Schizosaccharomyces pombe: one gene and its partners. The protein of the gene in region 1 purifies or fractionates together with the protein of each later gene. This does not show direct contact. Each region holds a gene or a part of one and is shown in the gene's direction. Other genes may lie near its edges.

Region 1 (10,671 bases):
TATGTCGCTTCAGATAAACAATTGTACCTGAAAAAGATACGAGAGAATTTAGATCAAAACAACGCTTCTGATGTTGAAGTCCATGAGTTGGATTGGAAATCTACACCCTATCCAAAGGACTGGACATTTGACTTTTTGGATTATGTGCTTTTCTTTGATTGCATTTATAATCCTCATCTTAATGCCCATCTAGTTTCCTGTTTAGCATCTTTAGCAGAAAGATATCCTGGGATGCAATGTTTGTTTGCTCAAGAACTACGTGATCAGGAAACCCTTGTTGATTTTTTAGAAAGAGTACGACCTTACTTTGAGGTTGATCTTATTAAGATGGAGGAGATAAACAAAACTTCGGTAGCTTCCTCAACAAATCTTCCACCTGCGAATATGTCCTTATTTATAATGAAACCTTACAACCATGAAGAATATATGCTAAAGGCCCTCAACGAAGCAAAGAAATGTGAGCCTACTGATTCAGCATTTTGCGTTGGCGCTGTTATTGTACAGAATGGAAAAATCGTGTCAACGGGCTATTCTCGTGAACGACCAGGAAACACACATGCAGAGGAATGTGCTATAGAAAAATTTATGCTTAAAAATCCTACTGATTCTTTAGAGGGCGCTATAATGTACAGTACAATGGAACCTTGCAGCAAGCGGTTATCAAAAAAAGTGTCTTGTACAGATCTTATTGTTAAGCAAAAGTTTTCTACGGTAGTTTTGGGATCTCTGGAGCCTGATATATTCGTAAAATGTGAAGGTGTGGATTTACTCAAGAAAGCTGGAATAGTTGTTATCGAGAAACTGACTTTTCAAGACGATTGCTTACGTGAAGCAGTTCGTGGTCACCCCCCAAAGCACTAATTTTATTAATTTTTTTTATTCTTTAAACATTTAGACGACGTCGCTGGTATATGACTATCAACCCTAAATTATCGTTTTTCTGAGAGACTATTTAGGCCATGCATAGTTCATCATTTTTTTTGATCATTAAATTAAAATAACACGAAATTCCCCACATAATGATTTCTTTTTTCTATGATTTCTAAATCGAAAATAATTTCCTTCTTTGCTTTCTTCACTTACCCTGAGCAAATACCACCTGCGTTGGCCTAAGTGGCTGATTTGTATAAATCTGCTGTTAAAAACTTTTTGGATTTCTTTTTATTTTTGTGTTTTTATAATATTTAATTTGGATTTATCCGTTTTATACTCTGTTTTGTTTTTTTCAGAAAAAAATTTAACTCCCCTTTCAAAATGAATGCAGCCAAATCTTTATCTATTGTTCCATTCTTAGATTGTTTGTCAAGGCTTAAGACTACTCCACGTACTGGCTGGCTATATCATGGCATCGAAAAGCCGGAATCCATTGCCGACCATATGTATAGAATGGGGATTTTGACTATGTTATGTAATGACCCAAGCATCAACAAGGAACGTTGTCTAAAGATTGCCGTAGTGCATGATATGGCTGAGTCAATTGTTGGTGATATAACACCTCACGAGAATGTTTCGAAAGAGGAAAAGCATCGTATGGAGTCGGAAGCGATGGTTTCTATCACCCAGCAACTGATCCCCTTAAACCTTTCCTTACAAGCTGAGGAGATTAAAGAGCTATTTTTAGAGTATGAGTCTGCTTCCACTCCCGAAGCTAAGTTTGTCAAGGACATTGATAAATTTGAAATGATTGCTCAAATGTTTGAGTACGAAAGGAAATTTAATGGTGAGAAAGATTTGTCACAGTTCACTTGGGCCGGTAAATTAATTCAACATCCTCTTGTTAAAGGTTGGCTCAATGATGTGTTACAGGAGCGTGAGCAATTTTGGGCTTCGGTCCGTCAAAAGAAGCTTTAACTGATAAGAAAAGCGATACTTTCCCTGTATTTAAGTGTGCAGTTGAGAGAAACAGTTAAGAAGAAATATTTCTTAGGAATTCGCTCTAGTATCTTCAAGGCCCATTATTCAATATACCAATAGTCTCTCTTTTTTTTTATACATAGATACATTTAATAGAAGTTCAACATTAGAGCTTAGTTTAATGGTGCTATCTTCTGATATGTTTTTACTCTTCAAATGCTTTACTTTTCTAGGTTCTATCATTTACGTTCTCCCAACTTAGCTAAATATAACTTAAATACATCTACGATTAAGTCTTGTTTCTTTATAATTATTCGTTCAATAAAAAATGAATTCTTTACAGCACATTTCAAGAAGTTCATAAAATCACTTTGCTATCTGAATTTTTTTGTAGACTTAAGCTTTGAGGTAATTTACATTCCTTGGTCATTATAAAATACTAATATTGAGTTAAACATTCTCAAGTTTAAAAGGATTTTACTTCTCAAAAATTTTTAACCTTTTCTCCCTAGCAAGACTTTCCTTAACGCACGAGTAGTTCAGAACCTACACCACAAGCTCGAGATTTAGCAAGTAATTTCTTTAAGAAAACGGAAATATTGTTTTTTTGTTACTCCGTTGAATAAAGAAATCTTAGATGAGTGATTTATTAGAACGTGGCTCTCTTCCTCTTGTGAAATCTTGGTTGGCAATAACTTTTGCGAATGAAGAAGACTTACCATTTCAGGTGCCTCAAATAGCGGACATACTGGTACATCAAAAATGTATCGAAAGATTAGGAACGAGTGAAAATGCTCTTTCCGTTCGCAAGAATTGGTGCACGAGTTTAACAAAAATGTTACAATCAAAAGACTTTCGTATTCGCTGGTCAGCTATTATTCTCATTCACTGCACTATTTCTCAAAGTTGGGATTGCTTAGTAGAGCATGGAGCTACTTGGGCAAAACTTTTAATTGCTTTGTTAAACCGACCAGAAACTCCTAAAACATTGGAGATTGCCATGATAACCGTATCAAAAATGTTTAGCTCTACTGTAGGAAGACCAGCAGTTACAAGAGAATTGGTGACTCCTAATTTACCCACATTTGTGAATAATTGCTTACGAATCGCCGAATCTGGGAAGTGTCTTTGTACTGTTTGTTCTTGTTTGTATCAAGGGATCATCTCGCATTCACCTACCTTTCGTCCATTTGTTTCCTCAATAAGGAATATTTGCATTAAAATTTTAGATGGGGAAGAAGTAGTCCCTTCTTCATTACAGAAGAAAGCAGCTGTTCTTTATGCTTCGTTGTATCGATGTGTGGGGAAAGGAAATTTTGAAGACTATTGGAAGCAAAGTATTATTTCAATCCTAAAGGAATATCATCTTACTTTGGATTTTTTGTTTCAATTTGTTATAGAACCGCAAACATACCCAACTCGTGAAGAGAATTTGATGTTTCCAAAACTCAAAGGCCACTACGAAGAAACTTATCAGAAAGCTTTACACAGATGCAGAACTCTAAACTTGATTTTAATTTCTTTTTTAAGTACAAAGACGGATAAAATCGTTTTGCTTCCCATAAATGCTTTGAAGGATTTAATTCAACGTGTTTATACTGTACAACTTTCATTGCCTGTTAAAAGCGTAGAAAGTTCAGTTCAAGCTTTGCTATTCATGGTCCTTCCTCATTTGCATACGCTAGTTAATGAGTTAACCTTAAAGCTTTTTGTGGTAATTCCTCCAGCTATCATTCTTTCATTTGATTCTTACCTGGATTCATTAAATGATTGTTTACTTTCTGAGTCAACACATACTGGGGTTTTATGCTCTTCTTTAAAGTTACTTTCAAAGTTTTTGGATGTGACACATATGAATGTCCCTCTTTCAAAATACGAAAATATTGTAACGCTGGTATTAGAATATCTTGCTAATTCCTCTAAAGGTTTAGCATCCAAATCCATAGAGTTCTCTAAAAATCGTGGGCATTCTCAAAAAAAGCGAAAAACACTTTCTGAAAGTCAAGCAGGAGATACACTTATGAGTTCGGAAGAGTCTCATCAGCTTTATGATTCAGATGTCATGGATTGTTGTTTTTCTTTTTTAGCATCCATTTTGACTCATTCAATAGCATTACCACGTTTATTACGGACCAAAATAGATCTTTGCACCTTGCAGATATCTTTGTCTAACCCTACCTCAACAGTTTTGATATCTATGCATAATTTACTCCTTGCGTCAATTTTATCACCGGGAGATTCACAAGCAGTGATAGTACCTCATGCAATACGTATAATTTCTGGTCCATTAGGGCTTGTACATCCAGATCCTCTGGTCGCTTCACACGCAAGGTCATCGATGCAAACAATAGAATCGCTGATTCATCCTAGGTTCCCACCTTTGCAAAAACATCTTTCACCAAGCGAATTTGAAAATACGTTTGAGTCAAGATTTGAGCCTGTTTCTCTTGAAAACCAATCGCATATTTCTCCACCCCAGGTGGATTCTCAATCAGAGTATAAAGAAAGTAGTATTTTGGCTCCATCAAATCCTCCCTTTGAAACAGAGTCGATTACAGATTCCACTGAAATTGAAGGGATCAAAGAGTCTTTTGCATCTACAGATACAGGCTTACAGAATAATTCTACAGCTACCTCCGAGAACAAAAGAAGCGAATCAGAGCTGACTATGTCTAATGTTCTTTCTAATGAGGGTGACAGAAATGAAGAAGGTAGTGAAATCAACTCTTCTCAACCTTCAACTATTAATCACGGGACTGATCACATTAACATTGTTTCGGAAAACAAGGAAACAACTGTTTCACTGTTGCATGGAGATGTTGAGGTTGAGGAGACTACAAATGTTGCATTAAACAATTCTCAGGACACTGAAACCAAATTTACTGCTATAGACGTTGACTTTGTTGACCGACCTACTAGTGTAGTTTCAAGCCAAATTGAAAACATAAATGGTGATGAAAATGGAAACACAACTTCTTCAGTCGTCGAAACTTTTGAAAAAACAACGGATGTCGTAGATGAGAAAACGACTTCTATTAATGTGGAAGGAAACGGAGAAGATGATGAGGAGGAAGACAATATCTCTTTGCCAAGTATAAACTTGGAATCTGATAGTGATAGTTAGTCTTAATTTATAAAAAGGATTTGGGGGTACTGAATGTTTATTTTAAATTCTATTTCTAGATAAGTAGGTTGTCATTTAATCCAAGCTGATTTTTATAAAGTCCTGTATGTATTATCGTCATGGCAAAAAAGGTACATCAAGCTGATATTTGGAGGTTAAAATCAATTGATTTTGACCTCCAGAATACATTGCTTATGTGTTCTCCTTTTTAATTAGCTAAATTTTCCAGTAATACAAAGTACAAAGTCTTGTGTTATCCGCAAAAATTTTTAATTAATCATTTTTATACCATTGGTGTCACAAAAATCCCGATTATTTTAGAGTTAGACTGTCGTTTATGTTTTTTGAGAAAGAATTAAAACAACTTATCTAGTCTAGTGTTTAAAAGAATTTTATACTGTTTCATTAAGAATAATGAAGATATCCCTTTCCAAAGGCAAAAGAAAAGTCGATAACTATATAATGCAAGCTTCTAAACAAACTTGAATTAGTGATTGCAACATTTCTTTTGCCAACAATATTTAAATCCTTCATTGCTTGACACATGGTTTTATGAGAAAAATTAAGAAAGAACATTAAGTACTTCAAATAAATTTGTTGAAGGATCCAAAATTCTCCAAATAGACTTTTTTTATATGAAGATACCATTCATTCAGCTTTGACTCGCATGCGAGCTCTCTGGACAATAAACGATCAAGCCAGCGAGGTATACTGTAACCATAATATCACGAATAGTACAATAAACTTTTTTTTAAAAAAATCTAAATGTACTAACCAGAGAAGCATAAAAGAGCTCTTATAGTTCCATAAAGGATACGTTTTATCCACATAGCACTCTCTTAAAATTAAATGCTGGAATGTCGTTTTGGATAGATTATGCAATTGTGCAATAGTAATTCCTTAACAACTGATAGTTTTTGTTCAATTTATCATTCTGTTTTATTCATCCTGGATACCTTTAACTCCATGTCAGTATTTTCTGTTGTACGGCCACGAGAGTACGGATTTTTGAATTGGTTTCAATGTTAGGATCAATTACTAACGTTCCATTTCTTAGTTTAAGAGACGCATACTTCATTCACATCTTCTAATCCTGACTGTTCTAGATAAGAAGTCATCTTAATTCGCTACGTTAACAACATTATACATTAACTACACACATATTGCCAAATTTTAGTAATTCATAACAAGAGTGTTTTCCAGTAAAGGAGTTGGATCTTGAAATGTACCACTAAAATAGATGATTTTGAAATAAAAATGGAATGGATGGAATTATGAAAAACGACTTGTTATGGTTCGGCAACCACGTTTTCGACCTTACGCCAAATTCATTTGATTCTGATTTTGTCGAGCAGCTTTCGAAATTTGAGGGAAAAGAAGGATTGAAGAGGAAGTTATTTGACTCCTCGGAATACTTTCAAAACTTTTCATTTCAAGTAAACGATGATCTGTTGGGAAAAGATGTCATTCTCGATATTTCAAATCAACAACTAACACCCGCTGTGCCTGGGTGTGAGACATCATCCAATTCCAAACTCATAAGCGCATCTAAGGAAATTACTTCAGAAAGAAAAAGAGCTAAATCCTCAGTGTCCCCCTCTTATCTTACAGATTCATCACCCAGCGATTTATCTGTCGAAAACAAAGTTCTGCTAACATGCCCTAGCTGGGATGGAGAAAATTTTAAAAATTTAGAAGCTAGATCTCCATTCATATCTGAAGCGCCTTCTCGGGTATATGATTATTTTCTTCATAATCAGGATTGGAGTCCGAAACCATTATTTTCTGCACTGCAAGTTTACCCTTTAGCAACTATTTTCAATTGCGTGGCTGGTTTACCACAAGGATTTGAAAGCACAGTGTTTCCATGGAACAAAACCTCAAGCACATTTGAACTCGATCCGACCATCTCCGTTTCAGGAATGTCCGATGAATGTTTTGCTAGTATCGTCCAGAAATTTTCTGCAATTGGGGGTTTAATAAAAAAAGCTTTAAATGAATTCTCTTTATACAAGACCAACATTTCTTTTTATTTATCAAATTTCATTGTGAATGGTGTCTTGCAGTATCGAAAGGAGTTTCAGCGTTGGCTTCGTCTTTATGAGTTCCGTAGATTCGGTCTGATTGGTTTAAGTAACTTTGTTAATTCTTTTTCTTCATTCTTTGAGTTAATTTCACACTTCTTAATAAAATCGGCTCAAAACCTAAAAGGAGATTCCTTGTTAGATTTTCTTTTTGATTATGCGCGTTCATGTCAGAATACCATATCTTACCCCATTGCCCTACAGTGCTTGATATATTGCTCAAATCCCTACTTCAAAAGGCTTGAGCTTGCTTTAAAAGTTTCTTGTGCGTATGGTCACATTGATTCTTCATTGTTCTTATCACTTCCCCGTTTTTTTCCTTCTGAACTTTGTGTAAGCATTGAACAGTGTATTCAATTTTTGTCATTAATAAGGGAACAAAAAGAAATATTTAATAAAAACAACAAAGAATTTATTAACCCTTTGAACATTCGGTTCGCATATTCTTTCAACGACATAAATCAAGCTTGTGTAATAGAGGAGCGCTGCAACTTTTCTTCGCTTTCTTTTGGTAATTTGGAACAAACTTCCGTCAATAATGACAGTGAAGAATTTGAAACGCTGCTTGCTAAAATGAACATGACTCCAGATTTCAACGATAATTTATTACAACTTAAATTTACAGATGATGTGCGCAACGTCTGTCCGCTTAACTTGAATGTTTGCTGCTGTATTGCTGAGCCAATACAATCTTTTATTCTCAGTTTCTTACGTTCGACATATAAAGTTTTAAAAAACGATTTTCAGGTGTTTGATCTTTTAAATTTTTTTCATTCCACTTTTCTTTTTCAAAATTATGAATTCTCTGATAATGTCATTTCTCTGTTAAAATCAAGAAGGCTTGATAAATCTGACCGTAATGAGTTGGCTGAGGACTTGAACTCTGATGACAGATATAATTTTATTTCTCGATTGAAAAAATTCATTTTTATGGAAAAAGAAAAAAATGGGTTGAGCAGGTCTTTATCTAAGAGTATAACTTTTACATTGGATTCTGCGAGCGTTAGTGAATTTGAGGATGTGTACCCTGATTTACAATTCCAATGCCAAGTAATAGGTGCTTTACGGATATTATTTACTGATAACTCTTTAAATTATTATTCGAAAACTTTTTCTTACGTTTTACATCTCTTTCAAGCTCAATCAGACTTTGAATCATCTGTCGAATTGAAAGATCGTTCTATAGTAACAAAAACAACTATTATGTCATGGTCTAAGTATCAAGGCACGAAAGAATCTCTTTTTCAGTTTCTTTCAATATACATTCCAGAGTGTATGTTGCCTTTTACGAAATTACTGAAATCCATATATTCTCCTGACTGTCCTACGAACATACAAAATTCTGCAATTAAAAATGCGGCTTCAGTTCACGAGCAGTGCACTAAAGCAATTTATCAAAAGGTCAAAGAGTTGTTTGATACCATGAAACTCTGGGAGTCATCCATCAAAGTGTCATAACAAAAAACCAGATCCGGATGACGGATTTTTACGAGTGTAAACATGCTAATCTCACCTTTAAGTTTGAAGAATATACGATTTTACAGCAGAAAAAAATTTATAAGCACAACACTTACAGAAAATTCCTTGCATAAAATGATAAAGAATGTAAAGAAGTATTTGGATAAATTCATGAGTAAAGTATTTACTAGAGATATATCTTAATCTAAGTTTAAACAACCTGTGCCAAACAAAAGGAAATTAATTTAACAAAGAAAGGGATGAAGAATTAAAAGGAATCAAAATAGAAATGAACAGTCAAGCTTATGATTGATTGTTTGAAGATCAAACATATCAAGGTAAAGTGCCATGATCACAGGAAAATACGCAATGTAGTTTAGTAAGTTATTTTGGTGCAAAAATATATGCGCTTTAATGGTGGAACATACCAGTATGTCCCACTTAATTTGCTCGTTCAAAAAATGCATGCAAAAAAAAAAAAAAAGATACAAATCTGTAAATACCTCACGCAAATATAAGAGTGCAAATAAAGACATGTTGAGAAAAGAGTAGAGGCAAAAGCCAAAAGATAAAAATCTTACTGGACGCCTATCACTTTGGTGAAGTTGAGGGTAAACGGACAAGGAATGCATGAAAAAGGAAGGAGGTAAGTGATAATTTAATGTTAGCAAGGAAGACATGCAAGTAAGGAACAAGTGCCCATGTTCCTTATTTTAGATTTTTTTTAAAGAAAAAGGGAATCTATGCGAAATCCTTTACCACAAGAAGGCATTGTCACGGTAGTTAAAGACACTGGTAATGTTTGGATTTATTTTGGAAGTAGTGTTAACAATAACATGGTCATCGGCAACAGGGATACGACTGTCGTTGGTATATACACAAATACCTTGACCTTTATAGCCAATATTACGGCAAGTAGCACCACCAAATGGAGTGCGCAAAGCAGAGTTACAATTAACGGGGTATTGGGTGCCATTGAAGCAAGTGTTAACCAAGTAAGGGTAATCCGTATTACACAAAGTCATGTTGCAAGACCAATCCATTGAGGAATCACGAGTGAATAAGATGGGTTGATCAACAATGTTGGTATAGCTTAAAGATATACCGGAAGAACGCTTGCTGTGAGTGCTCGTACTTCCCGAACTAACGGAAGTGGTCACGTTGATAACATTTGCATTGTCAAAGTTGGAAGAATTAGCGCTAGTGGAGTAGTTGGAGGATCCGATCTGACAAAGACCGCGAGTTAGTCCGTAGGAAGAATTGGTTTCAACACATGCGGAACCACGACCCTTGGGATAACCAAGCACAGTAGGGCAGTTCAAGAGAACAGTGCTATGATTAGCGCAAATGGCAATTACATCGGGTGAAACACAAAGGTTGGAGCCACTTACATGGCAATATGTACCTTCCGAAATATTATAATAGGAGGTAGAAGCTATAGCAGAACTCAAGTCAGGAAATGTGTCAGTTGCACGCTTATATAAAGAAATCTCACGCCTTTTACAAGCAGGAGCACCTGGTATGCCACAAAGCTTGATGGACGAGACATAGGAGAACGAGCAAAGGAAAAAGATGGCCGAAATCGCAAAAGAGGCAAATGCAAACATTTTTTTTATAAAATTAAAATGTGAGAGTACGTAAAGTAATTTTTGGAGACGATAATTTTGAGAACGGAAAATGCAATTGAAAATAGGGGGAAATAATGGAACGAAAGGGATATCAGATGAATAGAAAATGTAAGGACGATAAGAATATATGGAATAAAAATGTAGAGACGATGAAGTCTTTTTGGATCGATTAAAAAGGAGGAAAGATGAACAATGATAATAAACTCAACTACTTCAAGGAGCTTTGTCAAACTGAAGCACCCAAACACTGGGACGACGTTTTACAAAGTAACTTAAGAGAAGGAAGACAAACGATGTAAACAAAAGATGTTTTCAAGTGGAAAACAGCCAAAATGCAAAGACCAGATTTTATAGCAAACCGCAATGGGGAAGCAGATCGATGTTTATATATACGAGTTTAGCCTCGTTCGTTAGACGATCCTGACATCATTTGTTTACAGTGGCAAGCTGGAGAAGCAGCCAATCAGCGTTGAGAATGTTCATCGCAACCAGCCTGCGTCACCGTGTAAATAAACAAACTCGG
Region 2 (10,671 bases), 1.5 Mb from region 1:
AAATTATTATCACCACATTACTCCCTCTGCTATTTCATCTGGACTGCTAGTTTCTTTAGTTCTCATATTCCTGTTGGCATACCTGCGCATTTCAATTGACCGTTATTTACCAATTGCTATTTGGATTGGTCTAATTTCTCTTCACCCAAAATTACGAAGCTATCTCATTCAGTTTTATTCTGCTAAACGAGACCATGTGCCATATCTTCAAATTCGAAATGAGCTCGCCCAAGTTTGGAGGCACGTTGACATTTCCGGTTCGCAAACAACTACTCGCTACACTTCATTTCCAAAATTCAATCCGGAGAATTCAGTGACCTCCCTGGATTTGGTCGAACCGCCAGAGAATTATTCTTGGGCTCCTCAAAGCGACTGGACTTTTGTACCTCCTAATGAATTTCGGAGATTTATCTTATGGAGTCCCCAACCTCCAAAGATGAACAGAAAATCGTCACACGGATCAAATTTGCCCTTGTGAAGGCCTTAAAGCAAACATTGGTTGTAGGACTTTAACCCATTGTGTACTATATGTTTCGTAATTAGTTAGAGGTGTGGTCTAACTGTTTTACTGTCTGTTGTTTAACTATTTATTAAAATTTATGTAATCATTATGAACAAGATCAAAATCATATTATTTCCCCCCCTTGTTTGCTAGTATTCGATCTGTGCTGCTACCACTACTAAAAAAAAGTCTAACTGTTTTGGTGCCAAAGCTATAATTCACTTATTATAGATTCGAAGCGTAGAGGACATTATTGTTCGGATATCTTTAGAACCTTTCAAACACGTTTGATATTCTTGCTTAATTCTCAGTAGTTGGTACAAAATACATTAACGTGGATATGGTAGCCAAAACAAACAAAAAGTTCTTTTTTAATTAGATAAAAAGCGATTACTCGGTATAAGTGCTTTGAACAATATACCTGAATATTAGTCATTATAGCTAGGACAATTTTTTTCTTACCCCTTTTGATGAATAACGGCAGTATGCCTTGTCAGAATAGTATATCGAATAACCCAATCCACACGTGCGGGATTAGGAATTTCCGGGCAGGCTTTATGTATAACAGAAGTAATTTCACTTTCGCTTAAAAGAGCAGAAGGATCAGAATGAAAAAATAACTTCAAATGATGTCGATCAGCAAAATTCAATAGGTCGTTTGGTAGTTTACAATTTTGGCCTATGTTAATTTGGGTGGATTCAGGAACGACATTCACGGAAGAAATTAGTCGTTGCAACTCATTGACACCAAATTCACTAACGCCTAAAGTGCCAATCTTGCCTTCCCCTACTTTTTCCTCTAATAGTTTCCAAGTGTCAACCCAGGACTGAATCTCTTGCGGAGGTATCTCGTCAATTGAATCGTAAATTTCATTAGAAGAGCTATTACCACTTTCCTTTAAGAAAGTTATATGAGGAAAAGATACCACCAGTGTGGAAACAAAATCAATGCCAAAAAGCATATGTAAATTATAAAACACCTGAGACAGTGTCTCTTCCCTCTTTTTTATGTCTATGTTCTCACCGTCCAAAAAGAAAAGCTTTACTACGCAAAGTTAGTGATCCCGTACAAAACATTCCAAGTGATTAGGGCATTGAGATGAGTGTTCTATAATGAAAAGCATTTAGAGAACTCGTGTATTCCAACTCATTCCCTTCCCTTATCAATGGTAAATTGCGGTACTTACCAATAATTTCATACTCCTCTTGTTTCCCATCTAGTTTTTGAGGCTTTTCGTTTACTGGAACCAAGACTTTAATGTTTTTCTTCAAATTTTCATCACCATCACCCGTGAATTTCGTGAGCTTAACGTTCTCTAGAGCTTTAACCAACTAGAAATATGTTAGAATACATTTATGCCTACAAATATTCAAGTATATTTCTGCCCAAACCCAAGCAGTACGATACTCGTTTGAATGTCCAATTCATCATTTGCTTACTTCTAAATTTGATTTTATACGTGAAGCATTCCAAATGCCAGACTTTAAGTTTTTCGTCACATCTCCAGTATACAAAATCAAGTGTTTTTTCTCGTTCTGAATCATTTTGCTTTCAAATAAGTTGAAGTATTCTTTTTAAACCGAAACGTCTTCCAGAAACGTATTTCAAAGGAAAAATCTAAGCGTTTGCAATAAACCAAGTTAATTGAATGTTGTGATGGTTGATGACAAATACATGCATTTAATTTCATAATACTAACAACCGACTATGTCAACTGAGAAACAGTTTAATGAATGTTTTATTGAAATACTAAAAATAAATTACGACATAAATAATTAATAGAAAACTGAAATTACACGAACACTTGTTATCGGTACTCGTTTCATCGACAATATTAACTCCATTTACTGAATACTCGATTAAAGGAATCTGCAGCAGTTCCAAACCCTACGAAACAAATATAAAATCTCTATACTGATTAATATTGATCCTTCGGAGCTAGTATGGATTGTGTAACAATATAGTGTTTGATTATTCTGTAAAAATAATGATTTCACCAAGCTCTTTTAGACATAAATCTATGATCGTCTTAAATGTTATATATATACCCATATATATCAATATATACTAGGTATCATCTTTAGTAAATTTTACGAGTAGGAAATTCTTGTCGCTAGTGGAGCAGAAGCAAAGTTGCTGAAAAATTGATTTATTAAATCTTTGTAGCTAATTAAACAAAGATGAACAAAGCGAAAATTTCCGTTTTTTAGTAAGCCAGTAATTTTATTAAATAAACAAAACTTTCTTCAAGCGATCTGATTTAAGTTTACTCAAACATGGTTGCATCAATATCCATCACAATGGCATTTTCCTCCAAAAAATCAACCCATTGGTGAAAGAATTCACTAGCCCACTTTACAGTGTTGCTATCCCCAATTACACAAAGATGCCTTTTAGGCCTTGTGATGGCTACATTGAGTCTTCTCTTTTCTGCCAAAAACCCTACTTCCCGAACATCGTTGCTTCTGACTAGAGAAAATATAATTGCCTCTTTCTCGCGGCCCTGCACTTTATCAACGCTGCCCATTTCAACCTCTATTCCCTTTTCCTTTAATAACTGTCGTATAAGGGCTACCTGTGCGTTATAGGGAGTAACAACTGCTATGTCCTTAGCTTCAAGTCCAGCTTCTAGTAGTCCTGATATATGATAGCTAACAATCTGAGCTTCCCAGTGATTGCTCTTACTGTCTTGGTAAAAATTTTGCATATCCTCTGATCGATCATCTTCTTGGTAATTCCCCAGGGTGTCGTAAAAGTAAATTGGTGAATCAGTAAGTTCAGTTTCTTCGACGTTTTCTAAATCCATAAGTAAGCGTTTTTTTACTTCTTCAGCGGGAACTAATTTGCTATCGTAAAATGTATCAGACGGGAATTTACTAATAAGTTCATGCATTCGATATTGTATATTTAGAAAACATTTAACCAAATCTCCTTGAGATTTAACCAATCGTTCAAACATAGATATATAAGGCCTTTTGCTTTGTACGTTTGGTGAAAGTTGCATATGATCGCCAGCCAGGATCACTTTATTCATTCCCAAAAGAGGAATCCAACATTGTGGTTCCAACGCTTGTGAAGCTTCATCAATTATCACTGCATCAAATCTTTGGCCTTTTAACTGCCTCGATCCAGCACCATGAAGAGTACAAAACACAACCTTACTTGCCGAAACAATATTCGCTACCGTCTTAGCTTCGTATTTTCGATAATCTTTGCGAAGTTCCCGAATATTTTTGTAAATTTCACGACGCTCTCTACCATTTTTAGTTTTTGTAATCTTACTTAAGCATACATCTATGTCTTCGCTTATTCCACGGATTACGTCTCCATTATCACCCGTTCGTGATAAAACATCCAAAGAATGATCCAAAATCGATGGAAGGAGCCTAGCAGGATGCCCTAAGCGGACCATGGGAATCCCAGAACTGCTTAGGCGATCTACTATGTTGTCAACTGCCAAATTGGAAGCACCGCAAACCAAAATACGCTTGTTTCTTAAAACCAACTGCTGTATGATTTCAACTAAGGTGTGGGTTTTACCGGTTCCTGGTGGACCATGAATTAGTGATAATTCCTTGACCGCAATGGAAAATTTAACTGCTTTCTTTTGGCTTGCATTTAATTCTTTGTTGAAATATTTAATGTCACCGATTAATTTTTGGTCTATAGAAACATCTGCCTTCTTCCTTCCAATCAAGGTGTAAAAAAGTGAGTTTCGATACTCCGGGATACTTCTTTTAAATTCCAACATAGTATGTCTCATTCTTTCATACGTAACGCGATTCACCAATTTGACGCTTTTCAACTGTCAGTCATTTTTTTGTAAGGAGACATTGATTAAAACTTACACTGACAAACGCGTGACGGAAGAAGGAATATCTTCTTCAGACTTTAAAGCAACAGATATATGTCTTTCATGCACTCGGGTAACCACACCCTCCACTGAGATATCTGTTTCGTTGGGACGTTTTTTTTTGGAGGATTGAAAATCCTGTCGAATACTGACAACATCACCAGGTGAAAAAGAGTTTGCTGGTAATTCTTCACCATTGGAGAACGCTGGATCTTTTTCAAAATCAATGATTCTACAAATTAAATGAGTTAAAAAAGAGTCATTATGTCGTTTCGAATGCTTAAATGTACGTTTTACCACCAAATCCAGTTTTTACAACTCCGATTCTAAGGTTGATAAGTGCTAATCCTTTTCTTTGTAATACGGACAACGGAAAGCGTTTTATAGACTTTTCTGTCTCATCAACTTCGGATTTTTGAGCTTCATCCACAAATTCAATTTCCCTATCCCCAAATTTTTGTATCTGACCATTATTAATTAATAAAGTTATAATATTAGTATTAAACTTACCCAATCTTCGTCCAAACAAATTTGTTCATTTGAACTAGACATGCTTGTTCTGTGTGAGTGAACGCTTACTCAAACGTAAATGATAAATCCCAAAAGTACGGTTTTATTAATTTAATTACTGATTGCTAGCTTTTTTTTTTAATTTGGATATCAAAATTCATTTCATTATTCTCTGGCCACTAGAAGATGTTCGTGGTGTTGGTGAATAATTTTCAAGGCGGCAGTTTTCAGCCTAAACTCTACCAACACACTGGGGATGGATGTGTTGATTGAGTGGGTTGCAATATACCCTCAGATATATGATATTTTGGAGCATATTAATTACGTTCCAAGCAACACTTTGCAACGTTTGCGTTTGCACCAACCCTGGTCAAAAATTGACTACGACGTTTGGTTTTTGTATGCATCGGACGAAATTCGTGAAACCTGCAAAGTCAAATATTATGGAGAAACAAAGACTTACGGTGAAGTTTTTGTTTTAGAAAATGAAAGAATATCCCAACTTCATCGTCTTTTTGTTTCTTGGACGGTCTCTGAAAGAGCAGAACATCTAAAGAATTTACTATTTGACGCTGGATTATCCAATTTACCTCTTGTTGAACTAGGGGGAAATGTCTTTTTTAACTCTCACGTGCCGCTTCCTTGTTCCCTAGTTTTAACTAAAAGTACACAGGAAAATTTAAATCGCATAACTCCTTACTTGGTACAAAAAAGACCAATTCTTCTGGCTGGTCCAGAAGGAATTGGTAAAAAGTTTTTAATCACACAAATTGCTGCGAAATTGGGACAACAGATCATTCGTATTCATCTTAGCGATTCCACAGACCCCAAAATGTTGATTGGAACATATACCTCTCCAAAACCTGGAGAATTCGAGTGGCAACCTGGTGTGTTGACACAAGCTGTAATTACTGGAAAATGGATCTTGTTTACAAATATCGAGCACGCACCTTCTGAAGTGCTTAGCGTCTTGCTTCCTCTTCTCGAAAAAAGGCAACTCGTAATTCCCTCACGTGGTGAAACAATATATGCTAAAGGATCCTTTCAAATGTTTGCTACATCATCTATGAAAACAAAGATTCTTGGGCAACGATTATGGCAGATACTTGATTTGACTTATCAACCAGATGAATGTGTTGAGGTAGTATCTACTCTATATCCTGTTTTATCAATCATTTGTCCTACTTTGTACTCTGTTTACAAAGATATATTTGATCTTTTTTCACAAAGATCGTTCCTTGCCACCTCAAAAATATATCGTCGATTGTGTTTGCGTGATTTCTACAAATTTATTAAAAGGGTTGCGTTTCTATATCACAAATTTATGATCCCTTCCGACCATGTAGTCATATCTCAAGAACTCCAAGATGCAGTTTTTAAAGAGGCTATCGATATGTTTGGTGCGTTTATTCCTTCTAGAGACGGTTTTGATCTTGTGGTGCGTAACGTCGCTATAGAGTTAAATATACCACCTGAAAAGGCTTTACAATTACGATATTCTATTCCTGTATTTCAAAATTTGGAACATAACATAAACATAGGTAGATGTTCACTTAAGAAATTGTCTACTATTCGTTCTTGTTCCACTAATTCATATGCTTTCACATCTTCATCTCTTGGCTTATTGGAACAGCTGGCTGCAGGTGTTCAAACAAACGAACCATTGCTTCTAGTTGGTGAGACTGGTACTGGTAAGACCACTACTATCCAACTTTTAGCTGGCTTGTTAGGTCAGAAAGTTACTGTAATTAATATGTCTCAACAGACGGAATCTTCTGATATGCTTGGCGGTTATAAACCTATCAACGCTTCCACACTTGGTCTTCCATTGCATGAGAGGTTTATAGATATATTTGAGCAAACTTTTAGTTCCAAGAAAAATGCTAAGTTTATATCCATGGCATCAACGTCAGCACGACGGTTTCGTTGGAAAACTTGCCTAAAAATTTGGAAAGAAGCTTGCAAATTGTCTAAAACGGTTCTTGATGGTCAACAACCTCTTCCTAATCCTCAAAAAAGACAAAAACGTTTATCTAATCAGGTTGAGCTTCGAAATCAGTGGGCTAAATTTGAGAAAGAGGTTGAAGATTTTGAAAAAGTTCTTACGGGAGGTTCCAATGGCTTCATGTTTTCTTTCGTTGAGGGTGCTTTGGTGAAGGCGGTTCGTTCCGGACACTGGGTATTACTAGACGAGATTAATTTGGCATCATTAGAGACTTTAGAACCTATTGGCCAACTTTTAAGCTCATATGAATCGGGTATACTTCTCAGTGAACGTGGCGATATAACTCCAATTACTCCTCATAAAAATTTTAGGTTATTTGGCTGTATGAATCCTTCTACAGATGTTGGAAAACGTGAACTTGAGCCATCTTTTCGATCAAGATTTACTGAAATATATGTTCATTCTCCCGATCAAAATTTAGATGATTTATTATCAATCATTCAAAAGTATATCGGTTCTCTTTGTATTGGTAATGAACATGTTATCCGAGAGGTCGCTGAACTATATCAAGTTGCAAAGAGTCTTTCTCTCGATGGTTCTCTTGTTGATGGAGCTGGTCAAAGACCACACTATACCGTTCGAACATTGAGCCGAACTTTGTCGTATGTAACGGAAATTGCTCCAATTTATGGATTGAGAAGATCCCTTTATGAGGGATTTTGTATGTCTTTTTTGACGTTACTCGACCATACTAGTGAAAGCTTATTGTACAACCATGTGGTTCGTTTCACACTAGGTGAGCTAAATAGGGATCAACAGAATGCAATACTCAAGCAAATCCCTAAAGTACCCGATCATTCTAGTTATATTGCTTTTTGCCATTACTGGTTGAGACGTGGGTCTTTCCCCGTAGAGGAACAAGAGCATTATATCATAACACCATTTGTGCAAAAAAATTTATTAAACATAGCTAGAGCTTGTTCTACTAGGATGTTTCCAATTTTAATCCAAGGACCAACTTCTAGTGGCAAAACAAGTATGATTGAATATGTAGCTAAAAAGACTGGACATAAGTTTGTTCGAATAAACAATCACGAACACACTGATCTACAGGAATATATTGGCACCTACGTTACTGATGATAACGGGTCATTGAGCTTTAGGGAAGGCGTTTTGGTGGAAGCTTTACGAAATGGATATTGGATTGTATTAGACGAACTCAATCTGGCCCCTACCGACGTTTTAGAAGCTTTGAATAGACTTTTAGATGATAATCGTGAGCTTTTTATACCCGAAACACAAGTTTTGGTTAAACCACATCCTGAGTTTATGCTTTTTGCAACACAGAATCCTCCTGGTGTTTATGCTGGTCGTAAACATCTTTCTCGAGCATTCCGCAATAGATTCTTAGAAATTCATTTTGATGACATTCCTGAAAATGAACTGGAGACGATTCTTCATAAGCGGTGTAAAATAGCCCCTTCATATGCTGCAAAGATTGTACAAGTATTCCGCGAGCTATCTCTTCGAAGACAAACCACCCGAATTTTTGAGCAAAAAAATTCTTTTGCTACTTTGAGAGATTTATTTAGATGGGCGTTTCGCGAAGCTGTCGGCTACCAACAGTTAGCAGAAAATGGTTATATGCTTTTGGCTGAACGCGCGAGAGACCAAAAGGACAAACTGGCCGTGCAAGAAGTAATCGAAAAAGTTATGAAGGTAAAAATTGACACTGATGGTATTTATAACCTTGACTCTATGGAGATCTTCCAGGATATGAGTTTAAAAGAGGGTCCTTTATCTAAGGTTGTTTGGACACGTCCAATGATTCGTTTATTTTGCCTCGTATGGCGCTGTTTACTAGCAAAAGAACCCGTTTTGTTAGTTGGAGATACCGGTTGTGGTAAAACAACTGTTTGTCAGATTCTAGCTGAGTGTTTGCACAAAGAGTTGCATATTATTAATGCTCATCAAGATACGGAAAATGGAGACATAATTGGTGCTCAAAGGCCTGTAAGGAATCGTTCCGCTGTAAATTACAGTCTTCATTCACAATTATGTGAAAAATTTAACGTACAAGAAAGTCTGGATTCTATTGACGATCTCATTGAGAAATTTGAAAAACTTTCTTCTTCTGAAAAGAACGACAATTTATCTAATCTGATCGAACGCCAGATTATCAAGTACCGCTCTCTGTTTGAATGGCATGACGGTGCTTTGGTTACCGCGATGAAGCAAGGCGACTTTTTTTTACTTGATGAGATTAGTCTCGCCGATGATTCCGTTTTGGAGAGATTGAATAGTGTTCTTGAATTATCTCGTACTCTTACTTTAGTGGAACACAGTAATGCTGCCGTATCTCTTACTGCCAAAGATGGATTTGCATTTTTTGCTACTATGAATCCTGGTGGTGATTACGGTAAGAAGGAACTTTCGCCAGCGTTGCGGAATCGGTTTACCGAAATTTGGGTTCCACCGATGGTCGATACAGAGGACATTCTTAAAATTGTCGAAGGCAAACTTCATAACAACAAAATCGAGTTAGCTCGCCCTTTGGTTGAATATGCGAAATGGCATGCGAATGAATACTTGTATACTGATGTGATTTCTATTCGTGATGTCTTATCCGCAGTAGAATTTATAAATGCATGCGAAATTTTGGATTTAAATCTGGTATTGTTTAATGCTGTTTCAATGGTTTTTATAGATGCGCTTGGTTCTTTCACGACCTTTTCTTTAAGTAACAATTTGGCATCCTTACACGCTGAACGTCAAAGATGTTTCGCTAAATTAAATGAGTTAGCAGGATCTAACATTATGGCATCCAAATCTGCCGATATATCAATTAAATTCTCCGACTCATCATTTTTTATAGGTGATTTTGGAATACCTTTAGGAGATTCTGTTGAATCGGATTCGACTTATAGTTTACATACAGATACTACTTTAATGAACGCTTCCAAGGTTTTGAGGGCTCTGCAGGTTCTGAAACCTATTTTACTGGAAGGTAGTCCTGGAGTTGGCAAAACCAGTCTTATTACAGCACTTGCTCGTGAAACAGGACATCAACTGGTGCGTATAAATTTGTCTGATCAAACAGATTTGATGGATCTTTTCGGCTCAGACGTTCCTGTGGAAGGTGGTGAAGGAGGGCAGTTTGCTTGGCGTGATGCTCCTTTTTTGGCAGCGATGCGTAATGGTCATTGGGTGTTGCTTGATGAATTAAATTTAGCTTCACAGTCAGTCTTGGAAGGCTTAAATGCTTGTCTTGATCATCGTAATGAAGCTTATATACCGGAATTAGACAAGGTGTTTAAAGCTCATCCGAATTTTCGAGTTTTCGCTGCCCAAAATCCACAGCATCAGGGTGGCGGTAGGAAAGGCTTACCGAGGTCGTTCATCAATAGATTTTCGGTTGTTTACGTTGAGGCTCTTAAAGAAAAGGACATGATTGAAATTGCAGCATGTAACTATCATCAAGTAAATGAGGATTGGCGTTTGAAGATTATCAAGTTTATGTTTCGTTTGCAAGACAATATTGAGAAAGACATTAGTTTTGGTAGTTTTGGAAGCCCTTGGGAATTTAATCTTCGTGATACTTTACGTTGGTTACAACTTTTGAATGATGCTCCAAAATATACATGTGTTTCACCTGCTGATTATTTGGAAGTCATGGTCCTGCATCGTATGAGAACGGTTGAAGACCGTGTTAGAACATGCGAATTGTTTAAAGAAGTATTTGATATAGATTATGAGCCCCGTACTATTGGTTTTAGCTTGAGCAGCCAATGTTTTAAAGTCGGACATTCACTTCTTGTCAGGGATGTCGAAAGACAGAAAACTTTATTGGACAGTCAAAA
Region 3 (10,671 bases), on another chromosome or scaffold:
GAGGGTGTAGGATAACTCTATAAGAGATTGTCGCTCTTCAATGTCGACCGTATCCTTAGCCTTTTTTAAAGACTCCACGGCTTTAAAAATTAAAACATCATCAGCGCTGCAAAAACTTCCACACTTTTTACGTAAAAGCTGACTAACCATATCAATATTCCCTCCAGACTGCAGATGCCTATTGACAAGAGAATTTACGAGTTCCTTAGTTACTTCTCGACCCCGTTTCGAAGTAAAAAACTCACCAAAGGTCATGTTTGAACACGATTTTTGAATATCAATGGAGGTAGAAGAAACAATTTCATGAAAATCGGATACACCGGTATCGTTTAAGAATAACAAAAACGATATCCCCTCAACAATTTGTTGGAGGACCAAGAGCAATGCAGACAAAGCTCTATGTTCAGCTTGTACAGCAATTTCATCAGCAACATTGGATGAGCCGATGAGGGTATTTGGGCTATTAAGGCCTTCAATAAAACTTTTGTTATTTTCAAGGAACGTAGATAAATATAACAAGCCAGATTGTATTTTTAAAATTTCAGTAGCGTTAAATGCGGGCGCGTAATGGATACGTTTATTTTGCATTTTTTTAGCTATAATGACATGATTTTTCCAAACATTTCTAATAATACGCGAAATGGAGGACGCCAAACCATCATGACAACCAGACAAACGAACGAATTCTAAAGAAGAAGAATCATACTGGTTGTTATAGCGAGATTGATCAATAAAAGCTTTACCGCCAAACTCAATATAATATTTCTTTACTATGTCCAAAAGATCCGCTTGTGCAAGTTTAGTAGTGGAGCCAGAGAAGTTTGCTGCAGCATGACTAAAATCCCCCTGATCAAGACATCCACTTACAATACCCAAACAAGTTGCACAACCTTCAGCGCGACCAACACTCTCAAAAAACAGTTGAACTTGGCCATCGATTCCGGACGATAGGGAAGGTCCCATACGAATAGCAGAAGCGAGGACATCGATCGGACGACGATGAACTACCACGTAAACCCCTGTATTCGTAAGTATGGCAAAAGTAGGAGGAGGTGTGTTAAATTGAGAAACCAACTCATTGCGTTCTCGAGAATTTTGAATGCATTTAATATCTTGTACAAAACCCTTAATAGGAACGTACATGGAAGACTCTATGAGAGACGGTTGCGTACCACTCTGCCAAGCATTGGCAATTCTACCAACTTCAGGAGCAGTACAACAGACGACGTCGCCCTCATTCGTATTGGAGGAGCTTATGGCGAAAAACAAATCGGATGTATAAATATTACTCAGAGAAGAACATTTCATAGGAGTAGTTTTTACAGCACTTGACCTTTCAGGTTGTTGTTGAGATGTAGATTGATTTTGCAGGAAGAAAGGGTTAGCAGGATAATTGCGGGAAGAGGCATAATTCTCCACTTGCATAGGAGGAGGAAAACGAACGAAAGTAAGTTGTAAAGTACTAGGAGGTGTGGACGACAAAGTCGAATTAGACGGTGCATAGTGAGAAATGGGGCCCCGGCCACCTCTCATGTAAAACCGACATCCTGTAGAGGTAATTGCGACACAGTATATTTGCTGTGATTCATATGCTGGAATAGGAACTATGGAAACTATTTGAGTAGTCCGAGGATCCAATAAGGGAGAGGTTGCATTTAGCATTTGAGCTTGAGAGATCATAGAGCTGAAAGAATAAAAGACACAACGATTTACGCCGTTTTTCGTAAGTTCATAACAAGAAACAGAAGAGGTCTCTCGCAAAACATAAAGCAAGCTACGGGAGTCATCAACAGCAATCTGCTTGATGCCATCACCATGAGTACCAAAAGAAAAGAAAGAAGGAATAAAATTATCAAAAACAGAACCGGTAATATTAATTTTGCTGCATCTACGAGAAAACCAGCCTTCTTCGAGTTGGTAAGAAAATTCATACAAATTGGGATCTTTGTTTCCGGAAAAAAAAATACGTCCATCCTCCGAAGAAACGATACAATTAACATTAATCCCTTGAACAGATATTTGGATACCAGTTGAGAAGAAGGATAATTCACCAGTTTTCTCATCGATTGTAACACCTAATAAGAGCATTTCTTGTGAAGTTGCTATTACGAGTAAATGCTGGATTTCCGAGACGAAAACATTGGCCTTTGGTCTCACTAACTTTACATTGACAATGGTATGAGATAAATCTTCGTAAGCTTGAAAGTTTTGACCCGAAAGATAATCCCATAAGAACAAACGGTTGTCCACAGTTATCCAAGCACGTTGGATTTCAGCAAAAAGCCCCATTTGAGTAAAACATTCCGTACCTAAACCGATGATAAGTTAGAAAAGTTACCAAGGCGCATAAAGTTCGTTTACTTACGATTGTATTGTTCAAATATACGGTCAGGAATATTTACAACAGAACGAAGGTAAAACGGCTTCCAACCACTCAGAACTTGTGATATGTATTCTGGAGCGTGTACTTCTAAAAAAAAATAATTAGCCTTCAGAATTGATCAAACCTGCTTCAACATACGACCAATAATGTCTCCTAACTCTGGCAATTTTAAATCACGCTCCGTTGCAGCTTCAATCGCAGCATAGCCACGTGATAGAAGTTCATAAATACCATTTTCAGTCGATGAAAATGATGGATCATTGATGTCCATTTTCCCAAGCTCCAAATGAAGGACAGCTGGAAATGTTGGCTGCTGGTGCGTTTCGACCAGGCAAGGTATTCGTTGGTACAAACACGTATGCCAGAAGTTAGTTGCTTGAAGTTTTCATCTAGCAAGTTTTAGAAACATAAAACAATAGGAAAAATACTAAAAGACACATTTAAAAATACGATGTTCCCACTTCACTCAGTTATTCTTTTTGAGTAGCACTATAAATTCTCTGAAGCGCCGTAGCAGTTTGATATTAACCATATACTTCAACAATGAGTTTATAAGAACAACGCAATAATATTGCGGTTGAAATTGTAATTGTTAATCATGTGTAAGTGCAATACATAATTTAAGAAAAAAGACAGTTGCGAAGATGATTTCTTGATAGGGACAACAGATTTAATTATGTTGAAAAAAAATCGGGAAAAGATAGTAGATATATATTGCTGAGCATTACTGTGATTTTTCTGTATTCACATACTATTCTATTTTTACTGAACTATACTAACTTTCTCTAGCAGGAGATCTACTTTTAAATTGGTGGTTGTACTAGCTCGAGTAGTTTTCTTTTTAGACTTCCTTTTGTATGGAAACGTGCAATTTAATGCATGTGAATATAACCAGAGTTTTAGTGATGGAGGAATAGCCTTCCGATCTCCATAGCTTAATAGAAATGTTATTTTTAACTAATTCTTTGTATGGCATATGAGATACTTCGATTGGTATGTGTGTAAATGATTATCGTAACTTTAATGAATGTTTAGTAATGTAAAACTTTCAGGATGAAGTCGTCAATATTTTTACCTAAAATCCCGTATTACACAAACCAGAGTCATAAAATACGAACGCGATTACTCTCAATAGCTGATTACAATACGACATAAGTAGCTTTTCGAAATTACAAGCCCGAATCCAGCAATTTCTTCCAAAATCAACTAAATATTACCTTCTATTAAGACATAGATTAAAAAACCGACAAACCCTTCCTCTTAAAGTATTGTATACCCATAACTTCTAAGACTCGTTTATTATATTCCGCAAGTTAGAAAAATAGCAAAAGAAGTCACTTCCTAACCTTTAATACCTAAAATCTCCCTTAAAGCAACTGGGTCGCTTACTGCTGCTCGCTTTTGTGCCAAAAATTTTCTTCTGGTATGGAAATGAATGCTAGCGGGTCGGTTGCCTTCTTTGACCTTCTCGACAGAGGAAGTGGACTCTGGTTTATCCTTTAATTTTATTTTCTTTTTCTTTTTCTCTTCTTTGTCGCTTGAGCCTGATTTTCTCTTTTTTGAAGAACTTTCCTTATCCTTTTTCTTGTGCTCTTTTTTCTTCTTCTTCGTTATTTTTTCCAACTTTTTAGGATCAAGAGCCGAACCAGTAGAGGTCTTTTTCTTACTTTTCTTCTTAGAAGAGTGCTTCTTTCTTTTTTCACGCTTAGCTTCATCGGATGAAGACGCATCTTCACATACACGATCCTCATCCTCCTCTGCTTTTTGCATCCATTCAGAAAATTCACTAGTAAACGTCCCACCCAAAACAAATCGTCTGGATAGCTCAAGTGATTTTAAACCCTTCTCATTCGCACTCTGTCTCTCGTATGTTAGTTGCTGCACCTTTGCTTTCTCAGCATAGACACCATACGCAGACTCATCGCCGTTAAGTCGACCAAAAATAGCGTTGAATTCACCTAAACCGCTCCATTCAAGATCGTTAGTTGCTTTGGCTCCAATTCCCAGTGTATCATCTTTTAGGCTGACCTTGATGTTATGAATGCGACCATGTTGCTTTTCACCCAAGCCATTACCATTCACCCAACCGTAGGAGGATAAAAGCTTAAATCCCAATCTATTTGTATCTTTTGCCCATTTAGAATTCCGAGGATCCACACCAATCTGTTGTTTCTTTTTTACACCAGCCAAACCCATGATGTCCTGTTAATCTTCAATAAAATTTTTTTTTTATCGACGATCAATATGTGAGAGGACAAAAAAGAATGAGAATAAATTATAAGAAGTAATCAATTGTAAGAAATAATTAAAATTGCGAACAGCGCAAAGTAATATACATAAAAATATGTAGCAGCCTGAGTCCTAAAATCCCACCAAATCCTAGAACCGATGAATTCTTTCCCAAAATAAAACCTTTTTCGAGGATAGAATCAATTGAGTCTCCTCTTCTTTTATAAAAATATAAACACACGATAAATCAACGATCTAAACAAAGTCTTCTCGCTAATTGAGAAACTCTCCAAAATTTCTCGAGTATTGCACTCAAATTGGTGAAAAAGGATAAATTGATAGATCTTTATTAAGTTTTAAAAAAGAAAAGTACTGGTTCTTGGAATTTCTTGAAAAGTGGTGGGCTCAAGAAGGGAATATATGCAGTTGGTAAACCGGCTATGTGTTAAAAGCGCTATAGATGCTTTCAAAGGCATAATTGAAATCTTCTTTCAAATAACGTGAAAGCATTCCAAAAAATTACAATGTTATAATGAGCTGTAAATAATACCGGTCAAATCATCATTTAAGTCGTTTTAAAAGAAGTATTTCAAAAGACGTTAAATCTTACAATTCGAGCATACTCTGGAAAAAAATAAGCTTTAAAAAAGTTTATCCTTTTACTTTTAAAGCATACTTTAAATCTTCTAATATTATTTTTGTTATTCTTAGATTTTGTTCAACTGTTACTTTTCTACTCAAAAAAAAAAGCTGAATTAGGACCGCTATCGATGAATACGAATTGGGTTGATTAAACTTGAAAATTCTTAAAAAACAGTCTCGTAACATCTTGATCAATTCAGCCAAAAGTCATTATCCTCATTTTTTTGGTACTGGAAATTTTGATCTTTTCGACACTCCTTCCACCAACAACAGAATGGATGCCCAAAGCGCTCCTTCAGGCCAAGTTCAAGTCCGTTTTACTACTAGAAATGAGGATTTAGCTGTTGGTGACACGCCGATTTTTGTTCCTACATCTTTAAAGCGGTACGGCTTATCTCAAATTGTAAATCATCTTCTAAAAACAGGTATGTTTTCAGTTAACACATACTGGGTCAAAGCAGGAGAAAAGTCGCATAATTCAACCAACTTGAAGAAAATTTGAAGCAATAGAATAGCTGGTCTCATGCAAGGCCCAATTACTATAAAACTGTGTAGAAGCTGAAATTTGTTGGCGAGAATCAAATGGGGGCTTCTCGAATCTAAGAGTTACTCTAGTGTTCTTTTTCACGCCTTTCTTAAAATTTTGTAAAATTCTTGAAGATGCATTACTAAAAGCCCTTTTTTTATTTTTTTGTCTCTTTTACCTTTCATCCTCGTTTTGCTTCATTGCTATACAATTTTGCGATTTTTTAGTTAATTTAATTTATTTCCTTACTAACTTTACTAGAAAAGCCAACACCCTTTGATTTTTTGGTTCAGGGTCAGCTGTTAAAAACTACTCTCGATGAGTACATAGTTCAAAACGGATTGTCTACGGAGTCGATTCTTGATATTGAATATATCCAATCTACATTACCACCTGCATATTTAGCTTCTTTCTCTCATGACGATTGGATTTCTGGTATTCAACTAACCTCAGATACCATTCTTACTTCTTCATACGATGGGATAGCTCGTGTTTGGGATAAAAGTGGTGAAATAAAATTTCAATCAACTGGATGTGGATCATCTTTAAAAAGTGCATCCTGGCATATACCTAATCAAAGTTTTCTCACTGCTTCACTTGATCAAAAAATTTTTCATTGGGTGATCGAAGAGCCAGAATCAATGTTGGATGCTGAAAAGAAAAGCTCCGGTATCCTTCAAACTCTTTTCGTAGGGCACAAGGATATAGTTGAGCGCGTACGATCCTTAGAATCTTCAAGCGTTTTTATTTCTGCTTCTGCGGATAATACTGTCGGAATTTGGGATTTTGAAAGGTCTCCTGAGACTACCCTCGAGTCCTTTTCCTCGTCTATATCTAAAAAGAGACGTCGCAAAAATGCAGAATTCACACCTCAAGCTGGGGCTCGCTCTCCGCTGATCCTTTGTGAGGGGCATACTGGACCGGTGATGGATATCGTCTTTTCTGATGATCCAAGTGTTGCATATTCCGTAGGCCAAGATCACACAATTAAGACTTGGGATCTCATTACTGGGCAAAATGTTGATTCCAAGATAACCAAAGCTCCTCTTTTATGCGTGGAAAAACTTACTGACCTACACTTAGTCATTTGTGGTTCCTCTGCGCGACACATTGTTGTTCACGACCCTCGAGCGGGAAGCGACAAAATTGTGAGTCATACTTTATCCGGCCACAAGAATTTAGTTTCCGGATTATCGGCAAGCCCAGAAAATCCCTATATGTTTGCATCCGTCTCTCACGATAACACTTGTCGTGTTTGGGATGTCCGTGCTACATCCGGCAGTATTTACACAATTTCTAGAGCAGAAAAAACAGGCTCTCAGTGGGATAAACTTTTCGCTGTTGATTGGAATAAATCCATTGGTATTGTTACGGGAGGTACTGACAAACAACTTCAAATCAATCAATCCTCATCCTTTGGAAAAAGCGAATGAAAAAAGATGTAGCATAAAAAAAATTGACAGATTATGATTTAGTGTGGTACAAGCGGGATAAGTTAAGGAACAAGGTCATTACTACTAGAGATTAAAAGTTTGATTAAATTATTTAAGAGAACACTTTATTAAAGCAAAATAAGTTAATAATTCAAATTATACACACCACGTAGCTTAGTAATCGTGTAATAAACTTAAGCTTCAGAGCAAGTCTGTGAAATGTTTTGAAGAGTCTGAAAAACTGGTTTCTTCCGGCTCCTCTTCCTCTTTGACTGAGCTTTGATTAAACATCAGAGAGGAAGATGATTGCGGGTTTTTTCTACCAGAACCAACTGTAAAAATTGCAGTAGCATTTATACGAGTGTTAAATGGCTCTCCGGAAGGAAAATGGAAACTTTTGTGCAATCGTTCAAAAGGAGAATGAAAAGGTGTTTGCCTTTGAACGGTCGAACTGGAAGGTTTAGATGAAATAATAGAAATTAAAGAATTTGAAGATGCAGAAGAGACGTTTGAATAGGATCTAGTACGGGATGAATTCCTCGAAGAAGCAACGGAAGAACGCCCAGACAAGCTGCGTATGGGAGTTCGTGATCGTCGAGTCGGCTGGGGAGATATGACAGTATTTTGCAGAGGAGAAGGTGGAATATCAATATTAATTGAGAGGTTCGAACTTTTAGAAGGGCTATTTTGAGAGTTCGAGGGGAAGGTAAAGTCTTTATTACCGTCGAGGTTTACCGTTTTTAAAAGAGGAGGAGTGAATGGTGTGTTTTGCTCACCTGTATCAACGTGCGTTGTTTGAGGAAGATTTGAGTGTCTTCTTCCAAAACTGTTAATCGAAGGAAACACGGTAAGGTTCTCAACTGAATTGTCTAAAGACTCAGATAAATTATCGGAATCAAAATTTTCTTGAGTTAAATAGTTTTCAGCCGAAGGACTAGGTGTTCTTGGTCTAATTGCTGATGAGCTTAACGTATCAGCAGTATGCTTTTGTTTAGGATCGAATAACCAACTACGAAATGTAGAAAGCAAAGAATTACTTGAATCTGACGATGTATGCCGACTTTTTAAAGAATCCTGATTGTTGGACATAACAGAAACTTGAGCGGTTTTTAATGATGGAGTTGCTGGAGCTATGTGTACAGCCGAAGATGAACCTTTATGTAAATGAAACAAACCTTTCTTTTTTTTGTTTTCCTTACGCATTTCTTTTTCTAGTAATAAAAGCCACCATCCATAGAACATGTCACAGCGCTGTTGTGAGATGCTGGCATTAAGTTGATCCATGTCAACACCAACAAATTCAAGCCTTTTACGAACTTTTTCCTCTGCTTTCGAGGAAGGCCTTGGGTCTCGAATAGAAGATGAATGATATCCATTTTCCTTGAAATAGGGGTGAGAGATGATTTGATCGATAGAGGGTCGAAGTCGGTAATCCTTGCAAAGGAGGGATTTCAACAAGCTTGAAGAGTTTTTGGAGAGTGTTTCAGGATATTGAGGACATTCATTGATAATTTTTTGCTCAGTTAAAGATACATCGTCCTCGTCGAACGGGAGCCTTCCTATTAAGAGAGCGTACATAATTATACCCAGAGACCATATATCAACGCATTCACCAATATATTTATGGCCCTGTACTAGCTCCGGAGCACAATAAGCAACTGTACCACAACGTGTGTTCATAAATGTTCTACGGGAACAATCAGAATCTCTAGAAAACCCAAAGTCTCCAAGCTTAACATTGTAGGCTTTATCTAGAAAAATATTTTCGAGTTTAAGGTCACGGTGAACACAGCCTTGTCTATGTAAATACTGAATAGCACAGCATAGCTGCCACATGATACGGCAAGTGGTCTTTTCATCCAGCCTTTTTTCTCTCGCTACCCAGTCATACAATTCACCATTTGGACAATACTCCATGGCAAGATAAATTCGGTCTTCGGTGCATACTACTTCATAAAGCCTCGTGATGTTTGGATGAAGAAGACGCCGATGATGATGAATTTCTCGAGCAAGGATAATCGCTTGTTTCCTGCAAGATGATTTCAGGACAACCTTTAATAAAAATGTTAGCAAGGTACAATCAATTTATTGATGAATAAAACGTTTATCATTCTCATAATGTAATCAACCGACTTTGGAACGGTCAATATTCGCAATTTACGAGCCGTTTATTCTTCTTTTTATAACTTAGAGACATAGTAATCTTTGAATAACCCATACCTTTGTATTTGTCAGTAAATGAGCTGCCAAATAAACTTTTCCAAAGCTGCCTACAACCCATGCTTGTTAGATAGCCGTCCAGTATTGAGCGTTCACAATAACACAAAAGTATCGTACCTTCACCGACAACACTCTCAATGCGATATGTACCGACATCAGAGATACGAGGATTGCAAATTGTTGCAATTAGGTCATTGTATGAGGCCGATATCTGCCATTCATTAGATAATCACGATTTCCCTCTTTTCATATACATACGTTTGCCTTTTCATTTTTCTTCATACTAAAATTTGGCACACATAATATCAAAGGTTGACTTGCAAATTGTTTAGTGTTTACAGTAGGATACTTTGGTGTTATTACAAAGGCTTCGGAGAACAAGCTACCGAAAATTCACCGAGAGCTCGGTGAACTCTTCCCACTCTCTCCTTACTCAGTGTAAACCAGTATGTATGTGCCTTTTATTTACACCACCATTGTACGCCTAGTGTTGAATCAAGACGAAGAATTGAGGGCAATAAGGGGTTATTTATTGGGCATTGTATGACTCAAGTTTGTTATTGAACCATTGTTCTACGTAGGCGGACATCTGACCAGTTTTCAAAAAGTAAAAATAAAAGTTAGCTACTGATCGTTAACTTTGAAACGATAATACCAGCTGTAAAATATTTGAAAAAGGATTTTCTTGTGTATTTATATTTCATATATCTGTTAGTTCTTTATATCGTTTGACGATTTTAAAAAGTCATAACCGAAAATGAGTGATATCGTTTCGAGCTCTACAGATTACAGTAGGAGGTCTCCCTCCTCATCTAGTATTGGGACAAATGAAACTGATCATACGGGTTTTCATGAAAAAAGGCAAGGTGCCTCTTCAGAATCATTGATTCCTCCAGCTCAACGAAGTTCAGAGGAATCCATGCCTGCCCCTAAATTATTCCCTAAGTTAACTTCTAAACCCAATCCACAGCTGAATTTAAAGGATACTCTTAATAAGCGAGTAAGCGATCGACTACAAGCCTTAGAGTTGAATAAATCTTTTGATTTTTCAGGAACCCCTAGACCGATGCATCCCATATCCCATCCTTTGTCACAGCATAAAACGCCAGAATTTAAGCATAGAAAAAGAAATGTAGAATCTATTTTGACGCCGAAGAATCCTTCTTTATTTTCATCGTCCAATGCGGCCTCCCAACGAGGCTCTTTAAATACCGCTCCATCTAATTTTGCATACAGTC

Evidence for each region.
Region 2: the proteins of rix1 (region 1) and mdn1 purify together in Schizosaccharomyces pombe (affinity purification with mass spectrometry, with the first as the bait; one study listed by BioGRID). This does not show direct contact.
Region 3: the proteins of rix1 (region 1) and ytm1 purify together in Schizosaccharomyces pombe (affinity purification with western blotting, with the first as the bait; one study listed by BioGRID). This does not show direct contact.

The regions. Positions count from the first base shown.
Region 1 is NC_003421.2:430,244-440,914, reverse strand, and holds rix1 (ribosome biogenesis protein Rix1), read left to right. Parts: upstream 1-2,395; 5' UTR 2,396-2,491; coding exon 2,492-4,978; 3' UTR 4,979-5,111; downstream 5,112-10,671. Other genes in the region: rib2 (bifunctional CMP deaminase family methyltransferase/riboflavin-specific deaminase), read left to right, coding at 1-861; hdd1 (metal-dependent HD domain-containing phosphohydrolase), read left to right, coding at 1,255-1,851; gamma tubulin complex GCP6 subunit Alp16, read left to right, coding at 6,241-8,520; SPOM_SPCC306.11 (uncharacterized protein), read right to left, coding at 9,276-10,127.
Region 2 is NC_003421.2:1,895,382-1,906,052, forward strand, and holds the start of mdn1 (midasin), read left to right. Parts: upstream 1-5,100; 5' UTR 5,101-5,122; coding exon 5,123-10,671. Other genes in the region: SPOM_SPCC737.05 (peroxin Pex28/29), read left to right, coding at 1-478; glutamate-cysteine ligase regulatory subunit Gcs2, read right to left, coding at 893-923, 965-1,547, 1,690-1,834, 1,943-2,047; SPOM_SPCC737.07C (DNA polymerase alpha-associated DNA helicase A), read right to left, coding at 2,770-4,300, 4,352-4,588, 4,647-4,819, 4,867-4,908. UniProt on the Schizosaccharomyces pombe protein: Nuclear chaperone required for maturation and nuclear export of pre-60S ribosome subunits.
Region 3 is NC_003424.3:5,003,715-5,014,385, reverse strand, and holds ytm1 (ribosome biogenesis protein Ytm1), read left to right. Parts: upstream 1-5,507; 5' UTR 5,508-5,528; coding exon 5,529-5,679; exon of another isoform or gene 5,680-5,787; intron 5,788-5,960; exon of another isoform or gene 5,961-6,041; coding exon 6,042-7,213; 3' UTR 7,214-7,370; downstream 7,371-10,671. Other genes in the region: nucleoporin, WD repeat Nup155, read right to left, coding at 1-2,309, 2,366-2,470, 2,522-2,654; pxr1 (PINX1 family ribosome biogenesis protein), read right to left, coding at 3,725-4,579; serine/threonine protein kinase Ppk16, read right to left, coding at 7,415-9,265, 9,434-9,483, 9,551-9,644, 9,692-9,715; kinetochore-associated protein Alp7, read left to right, coding at 10,191-10,671. UniProt on the Schizosaccharomyces pombe protein: Component of the NOP7 complex, which is required for maturation of the 25S and 5.8S ribosomal RNAs and formation of the 60S ribosome.